Linked DNA regions of Rattus norvegicus. The protein of the gene in region 1 interacts with the protein of each later gene in a pairwise test. Links are inferred from orthologs where the notes say so. Each region holds a gene or a part of one and is shown in the gene's direction. Other genes may lie near its edges. The genes, in order: Kif2a, Fam13c and Mrpl53.

Evidence for each region.
Region 2: the proteins of Kif2a (region 1) and Fam13c interact in binary tests that used the Homo sapiens proteins (3 or more experiments, as listed by UniProt). The two-hybrid records come from large-scale screens. The link is inferred for Rattus norvegicus from reciprocal best matches to the Homo sapiens genes KIF2A and FAM13C.
Region 3: the proteins of Kif2a (region 1) and Mrpl53 interact in binary tests that used the Homo sapiens proteins (3 or more experiments, as listed by UniProt). The two-hybrid records come from large-scale screens. The link is inferred for Rattus norvegicus from reciprocal best matches to the Homo sapiens genes KIF2A and MRPL53.

Annotation. Positions count from the first base shown.
Region 1 is NC_086020.1:40,161,935-40,166,302, reverse strand, and holds the start of Kif2a (kinesin-like protein KIF2A), read left to right. Parts: upstream 1-1,522; 5' UTR 1,523-1,568; coding exon 1,569-1,632; intron 1,633-4,368. UniProt on the Homo sapiens protein: Plus end-directed microtubule-dependent motor required for normal brain development. May regulate microtubule dynamics during axonal growth. Required for normal progression through mitosis. Required for normal congress of chromosomes at the metaphase plate.
Region 2 is NC_086038.1:18,064,807-18,068,457, reverse strand, and holds part of Fam13c (protein FAM13C), read left to right. Parts: intron 1-2,264; coding exon 2,265-2,388; 3' UTR 2,389-3,651.
Region 3 is NC_086022.1:117,171,685-117,174,551, forward strand, and holds Mrpl53 (39S ribosomal protein L53, mitochondrial), read left to right. Parts: upstream 1-1,358; 5' UTR 1,359-1,362; coding exon 1,363-1,454; intron 1,455-1,633; coding exon 1,634-1,746; intron 1,747-1,841; coding exon 1,842-1,996; 3' UTR 1,997-2,249; downstream 2,250-2,867. Other genes in the region: Ccdc142 (coiled-coil domain-containing protein 142), read left to right, coding at 1-188, 325-602.

The DNA of each region.
Region 1 (4,368 bases):
GGTCCCCAGCTCTGGAAAAAAAAGAAAACAAACAAACAAACAAACAAACAAACAAAGGAGTTACTTGAACTGCTTTTATTAGATTGGAAACTCCAGGCACAAAAAGAGCATTTTTTACACTTATATTCCAACGTTCGACTCTTAGGCCCATATTTTGATTCATCACATGCAGCTTAAGAATGGTCAGGCAGGGCTGGAGAGATGTCTCAGTGGTTGAGAGTACTAACTGCTTTTCCAGACGAGCCAATTCCCAGCACCCACAAGGCAGCTCACAACTGTCTGTAACTCTTGTTTCAGGGATCTGACACCCTCAAACAGATATACATATATACAGTCAAAACACCAATATACATAAGATAAAAATAAATTATAAAAAGGAATTGGGGGGGAAAAGACCAGGCAAAGTAGATCATGAAAACTTGCTTCTTCCATCAAGCACTACCAGTGAGACTCAGGCTTATACGATGTTGTAAAGTTTCCAATGGTCTCTTGTCCACTTGCCCCTTTGCTTGGCAGGGGTAGGGTATTGGCACTCTCCAGATGTTGCTGATGTAGTCAGTCCAGTCAGATGACTGCAGAAGAGGCTCATTATTCAGTGTTCTTCAAGTCTTTGCTCTGATTTTTGAGTCATAGCTGCTGGAGTTAGGGCAAATAAGTCTTGAGCTCCACAGGAGCAATAGGATAGTACGACAGACCCGCTGGATCTTAAGTGCAAGTTAGAGGGCTACACAGGGGGGCTTCGCTTTGAATTGCAATGAGCTGGGTCGTTAGGGAAAAGGGGAGGTCTCCGTTCCTACTTAGGGTGGAGGACACTCTTCCCTCCATAACTGATGGGAAGCCTGAACCAGGCATGCCCTACCCTTAGGAAGGTTCCTTGAGGACCGGAGGCCTCCGAGTGGCATGTGATCTGACAGCCACAGAAATACACTGAACCAGTCCTGTAATGGGCCCGTCCCTTCAGTCTCCGGCGCCCCGAAAGCCTTGACATTACTCGGCCCTCAACCCATTCCTGCGGCAAGCGTCCAGGCGGAGCCAGAGCTCAGGAAGGGAATCGCGAGTCGCTTCCCGCGCCTCGTAGGCCGTGTGGAATCAAACCCGAGGCGAGTTCGTACCACGCCGGGCTGCGCGCTCCCGTTCCCGCGGACGGTTCAGACCCGCCCGCCGTCAGGCCGCAGAGGAGCTGGGCGGGGCCGCCTGCGGCCGGAGCGCGCGGGCGCCCGGCTGGAAGACGCGGGCGGCCGAGTGTGCGCAGGCGCGCGGCGCCCCGCCTCCCCAGCGTCGGTCCGGGCGGGCGGTGCGAGCCCTCCCACTCTCCCCCGCGCCGCCTCACGGCTGCGGCCCTTGCTTCACCCCGACGCCCGGCGTGCGCGCCTGCCCGCTCGCCCGCCCGCCCTCCCGCAGGCCCGGGGCTCCAGCCCGCTCGTCCGCTGCCGCTCGCCGCGGCCCCGCTCGCGTCCACGCTGCCTCCCGGGCCGGCGCGGCCGCGGGCCACCGCTGCCCCTCCCGCCGCCACCCCGCCCCCTCCCCGTCTGTTTCGCCCGCCCGCCGCCGCCGCTCCGGATGAGGTGATGGCAACGGCTAACTTCGGCAAGATCCAGATCGGGATTTACGTGGAAATCAAGCGCAGCGATGGTGAGCCGCGCCTCTGGCCGCGCCGGGCCGACCGCCCCTTTGATTGCTCTACGGGTTGTGGGGGCGGGAAGGCGGCGGCCCGGCGCTTTTGTGTGCGGCGCTGTGCGGATGAGGCGGGCGTGGGGTCCGCCCGGGCGCCGCTGCAGTGCGGGGCCCCGGCCGAAGGGCGGGGGCCGCTCCCGGGTTCGCGGTCCTCCGCCCGGGAGACTCCGTTAGGGCTGACCGTGCCTCGCACTGCCCCGGCTCTGCCTTTTGCGGGTCTCTGCATCGGTGGCGTGGCGAGGGCGGTAGCGTGGAAGATCGGGGGTTTCCGCACCGAGAGACCCGACTGGCAGCCAGAGGCCGTTGGGGAGCCATCCGGTTGTCTTTAACTGCTACCCGGTTGTCAGGCCTTTTTGCCTGTCCTCCCCCCCAAGCATGCTGCTTTCTTTTGCTGGTCCAGGTGCACAGAAGGCTGCACTCGACCATGAAAAGGGGTGGGGGAGTAACGGAAAGAAATACTCAATACGCTTCTCCAAGGTGATAATACTGAAAGGGAAGGAGAGGATGGAAGGAGGATGGACGCAGTCCACGGGAGACACTACTGAGAGGGAGGGTGGGGGTGGGCGACCGGATGTTGATATTTTCACACCCTCGGGAGGTAACTGAGAAAAGTGTAAGGCGAGGTGAAGAGACATGTTTAATTCATTTCTTTTAAAGACCCGTAGGCTTGTGGATGTTGCTGTAGGTTCATCCCTCTTTGGGGGACGGGGGTATTTTTGTCACTTCTAAGTGTAAAGTGAAAACCACCTATATTGTAAAGGAAATACTGAGTATAAGGGGATGAATGAAATTATACATGCTAGTGTTAGGAGTTGATTCTTGACTGCATCCCACATGTACCCAATTCCTTTTTCTTAATTGTGGCCATCCCTTACTTCAATTAGTATGGGCATGACTGTGACACACAGTTCTTGGTTTCTACCAAATTTGACCAAGTCACATCAGTATACATGGGTAGATTGGTTTTCCTGTTATTTATGATGCGTTGGAAGACCTTATATGGTTAATTTTTCCCCCTCCCTCTTTGCATCTGCAGTAATTTGGTAACTGGTAGGATTATTTTGTGTATGAGAAAATACATTATAACTTATAGAGCTTTAGAAGTTACCAAATGGGAAAGGGATGCTTTCTTTACTTGGATTGGAGTTTGCTTTATCAATTCTCTGCAGATTACTTTCTTTTAAATATGCCATTTTTCTTTTTGGTGAATGTGGGTTGGCTGTGTATTAACAAATATAGGACTTACGAGTTAATTTAAAACTTGAAGTATAATAAAATGTATGTTCTTCACAGTCTTAAAGGTCTTAACTATGGCAGTTACTGAAATCGTTAAAAAAATAACTCGATAGTCAAGAGCTCTCTGCTTCAATTTATCTGAGATGCCATTTGCTTTTTACTATGTATTGGACTTGAAGTAATTTTGGTTCTTTGGTGATTCTAGGATATTAGCTTCAGCCTATAGCAGAAATTGTGATACACAAAAAGCTTTATAGTCCAAGTTAGAGTAACCTAGAAAACATTTTCAAAAGTGTTCTCCCTCACCAAGTAGGGGAGTCTGTACAGTGTGTATTGCCCTAACTGACAGTGTAAATATTTACATGTCTTGGATGCAAGAGAGCCCAAGTAGGTAACTTTTTAAAAACAACATGTTTAATTTCTTGGTTTTGGAGACCTTATGGTCTCAGACTGGCCTTGAACTTTTTGTAGCTGAGGACCTTGAACAGCTCCCGCCTCCCGCCTGAGTACCAATTTGTGAGGTTCCAGGGATCAGGCATTCACCGGTTGAGCTACATTCTCAGTCCTAAAAAGTGTGTAACTTTCAAAGGAAATAACTGGAATTGAAAGTGTTCAATTTCATTTCTATGAGGCACTTCCAAGCCCTCCCTCTTTTTACTTTAAAGAGGCTGTTTTTTTTGCTTCCTTTATTGCAAAACAATAAAATTAAATAAATGAACCTAGTAGTTGAATAAACACTGATATCCTGAAAACTCAAATCACAGGAATAAATAAAGGCCACTTCAACCTGCTGTTAACCTAGTAATAGATACAGCACTGCATGTATGGTCTTTGTCCTGACCAGCTTTTCCTATCAGTGATAGCGTATAGTAAAAGATTCCAAAGGCCAAATCATAAACCAAAATGGGCCTATTCGTATCTTTGAAGATCCTACCAAAAAACGCTAATCCCAGTAAGTCCTCACTGATGATTGAAATCTGCTTGCCAGTGGGTGGGATTCTGAATTCCTATGTCATCCTGTATTGCTCGTGAGACAGCATATTTCCTTAAGCATTGATACTTAGAACTGTACTGCTTAATATGTTTTCAAACTATATGACTAAAGTAGACGTTCAGTGTAGAGCAGTGGCTCTCAGCCTGTGGGGGTCACATTATCAGATATCCTGCATATCAGATATTTACATTATGATTCATAACAGTAGCAAGATTACAGATATAGAGGAGCAATGAAGTAGTCTTATGGTTGGGGGGTCACCACAACATGAAGACGTATGTTAAAGGGTTGCAGCTTCAAGAACGTTTAGAGCCCCTGGGATAGAGAAGGCTTTGGAGGCATGGGAAGATACCCACACTTACTTCAACCAGAGCCAGGATATTGATATTATTTAATGGTCTTAGGAATTGCTTCAGTACATCTGTCATGACCCCACACTCAGGTGGGTAACAGGTGAGTGCTTG
Region 2 (3,651 bases), on another chromosome or scaffold:
ATGTTTTCCTTTAAATATCTGTTCTAAACACCACCATCCATTCCTGTTTGTTTTATTCCAAGCTTTAGTCAAAAAGTTCATAGCTATTTTTCGCTCCCTTAAATATTTAGTTGGCCCACCTGTCTTCCTATATTTTTCTATCCCAACCCAGCTGTTGGAATACACCCATTAATTCCTAGTAATTTGTTTTATTGCGTTACCAACAAAGTTCCATATAGAATCAGGTAATGAATGTTAGTGTCTTTTGGAGAAGAGACAAATTACTTAGCTGCCCTCAGTCTCTGACCTCAATAAGCTGCAACACTTTGTCTCCTGGGATAAGTTTGAAAGCTAGGACTATGACAGGACATTAGTCTCAACGCCCTGGCCATCAGCGTTTCTAACTTGTCACAACTCCCAGAGGACGGCAGTGCAAATGGCCTAACAAAACCCAATACAATGACATTTATTTAAAAAATTTTAAAAAGCGAGGTTGTGTGTTTTCCAGCCTGAACTTGGGAGACAACAACACTGGGCAAAAATGTCAAAAGATTGGACATTCTCGCAAGCATGTGACTTTGCCAAAGTCACAATCTAAATGGCAGATGACTACGAGGTTCTAAGCATCTACTGCCTTTCTTGCCTGCCTTGCTGTCCTTTCCTCTCAGCTGTAAGGGAGCGGGACTGTACTAAAGCATCGTGAGACGTCCACCTAGAGGGCTTGCTTCACAGTCCTTGGGAGCTTTTCTCTTTTGCTATCCATCAGCAGTAGGCTTCCCAGGCGAGAAACCTGTGGCTCGGCAAGGCAAAGCGACAGGCTTACTAGGTGCTCTAAGCACACATCTGATTTGCATTTAAGTTCCTCTTTAAAGTTATTCAGCGGGAGGGTCTTCATTCAGCCAAACATCTGCTGTGGGTTCAGGATTTTGAGTTTAAATAGTCATTGCATGAAAAATGAGTTAATTAGGTTTAAGCCACACACATAGTCTTTTCTTTACTTTGAGGTCCCTGAAGAAATTTACACATGGACCCGTTCGAACACAGTGTGCAATGGATTCTGGGAGGTTTCAGTGTGACGAGTCTGCCTGTGGATCTCTCAGTATTATTTCACATGACTTTTGGCAACAATGGTGGTTTAATCGTTCTCCCTGTTCTTAGTAGTAGTCATTGACTGTGGCTCTGTGTAAGTCCATGCATCAGGTTATATCTAAGAAAGGGTATGCAGAAAACCAGGACTGCTGCTCATCCATGCCCTACTGCAGTGAGGGAACACTTCATTTCATTGTACTTACACTGCCTAAACCTACTTAACATACATCCACGCTTGATCTACGTGAAACTGTATGTCCTCTTGTGGTGATAACATGTCATCTCAATGAGAAAACGCTCATTTATTAACACTAAACTGTGTTACATGGCAAGACAATAGCGTTATCTTGTTTCTTTAAGACGATTTACCACTAAGATTTAATCCATTTATGAAGCTAAAACGACCATGAGAATTGTTTTTCTATACATGTAGCGACACTGTAAGTATGGTAATAGGACAAGCGCACTCCAACTGTGTGTGGACCAAGCAAGGTCTATGCATTGAAACATGCCCAGCCTTTGAATTAGTGTGCAGAAAGAGAGCCATTGCAATTGAAACTATGGATGTGTTCACATGAACGGAGACCAGAGAACAACTTGGGGGGTCAGTTCTTTCTTCCACCAAGTGGTCATAAGGCCATCAGGTTTGGTAGCAGTCACCGTCACTACCCACTGAGCCATGGCACTGGTCTCAATTCAAATGATTTGGACTCATGATTACTTCCGTCAAAGGGACAGGAGTTCCCATCAGCAGAAACAGGTCTAACCACAAGGAAACTTGGAAACATTCCCAGCGTACAAGGCAGCCCCTGGGAAGGTCTTGCCACTATGAACTTATGGGTTACTCGTATAATTGAATCCCTGCAGTGTTTTCAGGACGATTATGGAACTACCGGAAGTAAGAGGACGAGAGGAAAGGCCATATTGGAGGCTCTAGCCATTGCCTTTTCTTCAAGTCTTTGTACCTGCACCATTGTTCTGTGCTCAGGCATGGGGTCTCGTATTGGCAAAGACACGTGGCCAACGTTTGCTGCTGCTTAGAGAAATGGAGCAGGGGTGGGATGAGACCAAAGGGACGTCAAGAAGGCACCATTAAAAGAGAGCCACCTGGAAGCCACGGGCCCATCAGTTATAAGAGGATCTTTTTAAGACCTGGCTCGAGTATTGACTAATAGATTGTGTCTTCTTTCCTGCAGAAGCCCACAGAAGGAAGACAGGATGCCAATGGCAGACGAGTACTGTGCATACAAGCACATAAAAGCCAAACTGAGGCTGTTGGAGGTCCTCATCAGCAAGCAGGATGTGGCCAAAACAATTTGAGGTTCGGCTCTGATCACTTCCTCTAAAGATAGAAGTCAAATTTATTTTCCTCTACCGTTCTTGCTCAGTAGTTCTGATGTCCTGAAAGCGGAAGCACTTTAGAGATAGTATTAGCTGTTTTGATGAAGGGAGAGCTAGCGTAATTCTACCCAAGAAGGCGTCTCAATAGGGAAATGATAGGTAATATTGGAATGGGCAAAAGCCTCCATGACAAACTGAAGTCCAGAGTCAAATGTAATTGTTTCAAAAGACGTCTAATACCTTGTTAAACCAAAATTAACACGTAGGCAGTCTACCTGCTTAGGAAAGGTTTAGAGGTGTCCCCAAGTTGATTTTATTGATGTATGTGAAGAACACGGTTTAAATACATTGGTGAGGCAAAGAAAACTTGTGCTCTACATTCAGGGAGGAAAGCAGCCAGACAGAAGGGAATTTAAGTGAGATGACATCCACTACCTTGTCCTCTAAGTCTGTAGACGGTCAACACTGTAAAGTGACTCAGCTGTGTCACTGCTAACCTCTTATTTCTATGGAAGTAGTGCATCACTCTATCTGTTATTTGAAAATTTACATTTCCAGTTACCAAAGTTCACTTGGATGGCATGTACTTTGTGAATTATCTTTGTCTATAACTGAAAAATGTTTATATTAAAGTAAACTATTAAAATAGGTATTTTGGATAGATGTGTCTGCAGTAATAAGCTACTGTGCCCATAGTACTATTGCTGATTTTCTTGTTTCCTATACTAAGATCCTATAACTATTTTTCCATTGGGAATATGCATCTTTGTTAATGTTCCAAGGTCTGTACTTTATAAAGTGAAATACCTTTTTCGTGAGCTGCATTCCTTCTGCACAGGGTAAGAAGCTTGGAAGTCACCAAGAGACCTTCTCTTTGCTTTAGTCAGTGTATCTTGCTTTTTCTCCACTCACCAACGTCTCGGTTTGGTTTTTGTGAAATCAAGTAACAGATAGACATTTTCTCATTATCAGCACTGTTCATATTTCTGTTTTCTGTAATGTTTAAGCATGGTGTTGAAGAAACTCAAGATTTTCATATTGCTTGGGCGGAGAAAAGAAAACAGATTCTAGACACGGACTATGTCAGAGCGTGTTGTTCTCTCTGTATTCACCTGACGTTTTCAACCTTTTATGAATCAGAGTAATGGCCTTCATAAATTTGTTTAATTGAAGTCATCTACTTGTAACAGGACAGATACACAACTATTTGAGGTTTACAAATTACATCTTTGATAAGGGAAA
Region 3 (2,867 bases), on another chromosome or scaffold:
GCTGCAGCTCAAACAAGACTTCGGAGTGGTCAGAGAGGTTCTGGAACAGGAGCAGTGGGGCCTGTCCCCGGAGCTTCGCCAGACTCTGCTCTCACTCAGCATCTTCCAGCAGCTGGATGGGGCCCTGCTGTGTCTTCTGCAGCAACCCCTGCCCAAGAATCCAGTCCAGAGAAGACCTCACCGTTGCTGTGAGTTATCGCCCCTCCTCAACCCTAGGTGTCTCTAAACCCCTTCCATCACTGCTTTAAAAGACCCACACCCAGTCTCACCATTGATTTGGCATCAGCATTACCCACCAACCCGCCTTCCGCTCCTGCTTTTCAGGTTTTTGTAATGAGGTCCAGACCATTGAACTGCCCACCAGCAGCCTCAACAGCCTGGAAAGTCTGGCACCCCCTCTAAGGCCTGGAGTCTCCCCAGCCCAGAATACTCACCTGCTAAGCACCCTGGGGGGAGGAGGGCGAGGGGGAGGGGGAGGAGGACCTAGTCCTGAGGCTTACCTGGCTGGAAACCAGCAAGCCTGGCTTGCCCTGAGGCTGCACCAACACCCTCGTTGGCACCTGCCTTTTTTCTCTTGCCTAGGGACAAGTCCTGAACCCTAAGTTGACCAGAGCCAGGAGTTCCAAACCCTGCCCCAGGCAATGAACTGTATGTTAGAGAGGCTTAAAACTGGGCGCTTGATAAAACACGTTCATAAACTAGAGTCTGGAATTGAACCCCAGATGATCCTAGGATCTGCAATTCAGAGTAATAGGCAAACTACAGCCTGAAATCTGAAAGTCGGAAACAATGGAGACATCTTAGAGCTAGAAATAGAAGGGGGTCTATAGGGTTAGCTCTCAGGAGACGGAAGCAAGCTACTTGCTTTCTCTTGAATCCCAGGAGCAAGGCTAAAGTTAATTCATGAGGAAACACAGAGGAAGCAAACATTTCTACATGTGGAGGGACCTGTCTTACCCCTTCTTCATTTCTACTTTTAGTCATTAGGCTGCAGGACCTTGACATTTAAGCTTTGGCTGTTGCTACCTGGGCAAAGCTTGCCTTCTGGTGGGTGGACAATCCCTGCTGTGATCGTCCTCTCAACGGAAGGAGCCAGGATTTAGGATGGTGCTGACCTAGATCTAGTAGGTAGGACACTGAAAAGGCTGAAGGGCGTTTTCGTACGTAGGGGGGTCTTACACATTCACTGCCTATGCTGTGTGTGGCACAGAACACTGCTAATGGCCAAAGTATTTATGGACCACCAACTCTGGGCCCCTTGGCAGCCCCGGAGGGCAGCCGGGAGAAGTACCCCGGAGGCCACCGGAAGTCTGTTTCAATAAAAGGATCCCCAGTGCTACTCCTTCCGGGGCGGAGGTAACCATGGCGGCGGCTTTGGCTCGGCTCGGACTACGGCCGGTCAAGCTGGTTCGAGTTCAGTTCTGCCCGTTTGAGAAGAACGTGGAGTCAACAAGGTACAGGTTCTGGGGAGGTGGGAGGCGTCCGCGCTCCCCACACGTGCGCGCGCACCCTCGACCCCCTCCCGGAGTTCCTGGGCATCTCAGTCCCGCCCTCCCTCCCTCGCGCGCACACCTTGGTCCCTGCTCCAGGTTCCCTGGTCCCCGGACGCGCTTACCCTGCCCTCCCACCGCAGGACCTTTCTCCAGGCGGTGAGCAGCGAGAAAGTCCGCGCCACCAACCTCAACTGCTCTGTGATCGCCGACGTGAGGCATGACGGCTCTGAGCCCTGCGTGGACGTGTTATTCGGTAAACTTGACAGGGACACTGGTGGGCGAGGACGGAGCGCGACCCTAGCTCTACATATTCCGGGTCCCTTACTCATCGTTTTGCATCTTCCCCAGGAGATGGGTATCGGCTGATTATGCGAGGAGCCCACCTCACCACTCAGGAAATGTTAAGTGCCTTGGCCTCCCACATTCGGGCTAGGAACGCTGCCGCAGCAGCATCTGCACCCAGCGCAGACAAGGTCGCCCCAGGTACGGGTACCCGCCGATGACATTGTAGAAGAATCCCAACAACCGACGTTGGCTTGAAACTAAAGACAGTGGTTTAAGAAGAGCTGGGCTTAATCACTCTAAATGCTGCATGGAGGTCATGATACTGAGCAAGAACCCTAACAACAGTGCTGCTGGGGCAAGATAAGATTGGGTGGTGAAGGGTCCGTACAAATTTGAATTTTTCTTTCTCACTGCTTAACCATATTTGAATCTGTCACCCACGTACATTTTAATTAAATATTTATTGCCAAATGAATGCTGTTTTTCTTAGGTTGTTCACTTGGATTTTTAGAGAGGGTCTTACATGAGCTAACCTAAAACTTGATATGAAGACCACGGTGGCCTAGAAATGTGAAAGAAATTTTCCTGCCTCAGGCTCCTGAGTGTTGGGATTCCAGCCATGCCCCACCTTTGGCCTTCAGTACTCACCTTTCTTAGTAGTGTCTCCTCTCCATTCACTCTCATGGAGCCACCCATTCTGCTGTCATTTTAACTACTCAGGATTTAAACCCTACATTTTTATTTGGTTTAATCCCATCTTCTGATTATGATTACCTTCTGCCAACTTCCTCCATATTGCCACCAACATTCAAGTAGAACAGTCTCTTGGCTCATCTGACTTCCCTGCTCAGCCTTCTAGGCTAGAAGTTCAGTGTTTTCTCTCCTATCCCTCCCTTTCCTGGTCTGTCTGCACTGAGAGGAAAGAGGAGCCAGCCCCATCTATTGGCACACACTATTCCAGCTACTCAGGAGGCCAGCCTGGTCTATTTAGCAAGACCTTTCCATTCTCATTCTCCTAGAGGCCAGCCTGGTCTACTTAGCAAGAACTTTCCATTCTTACTCATCCTCCTGGAGGCCAGCCTGGTCTGT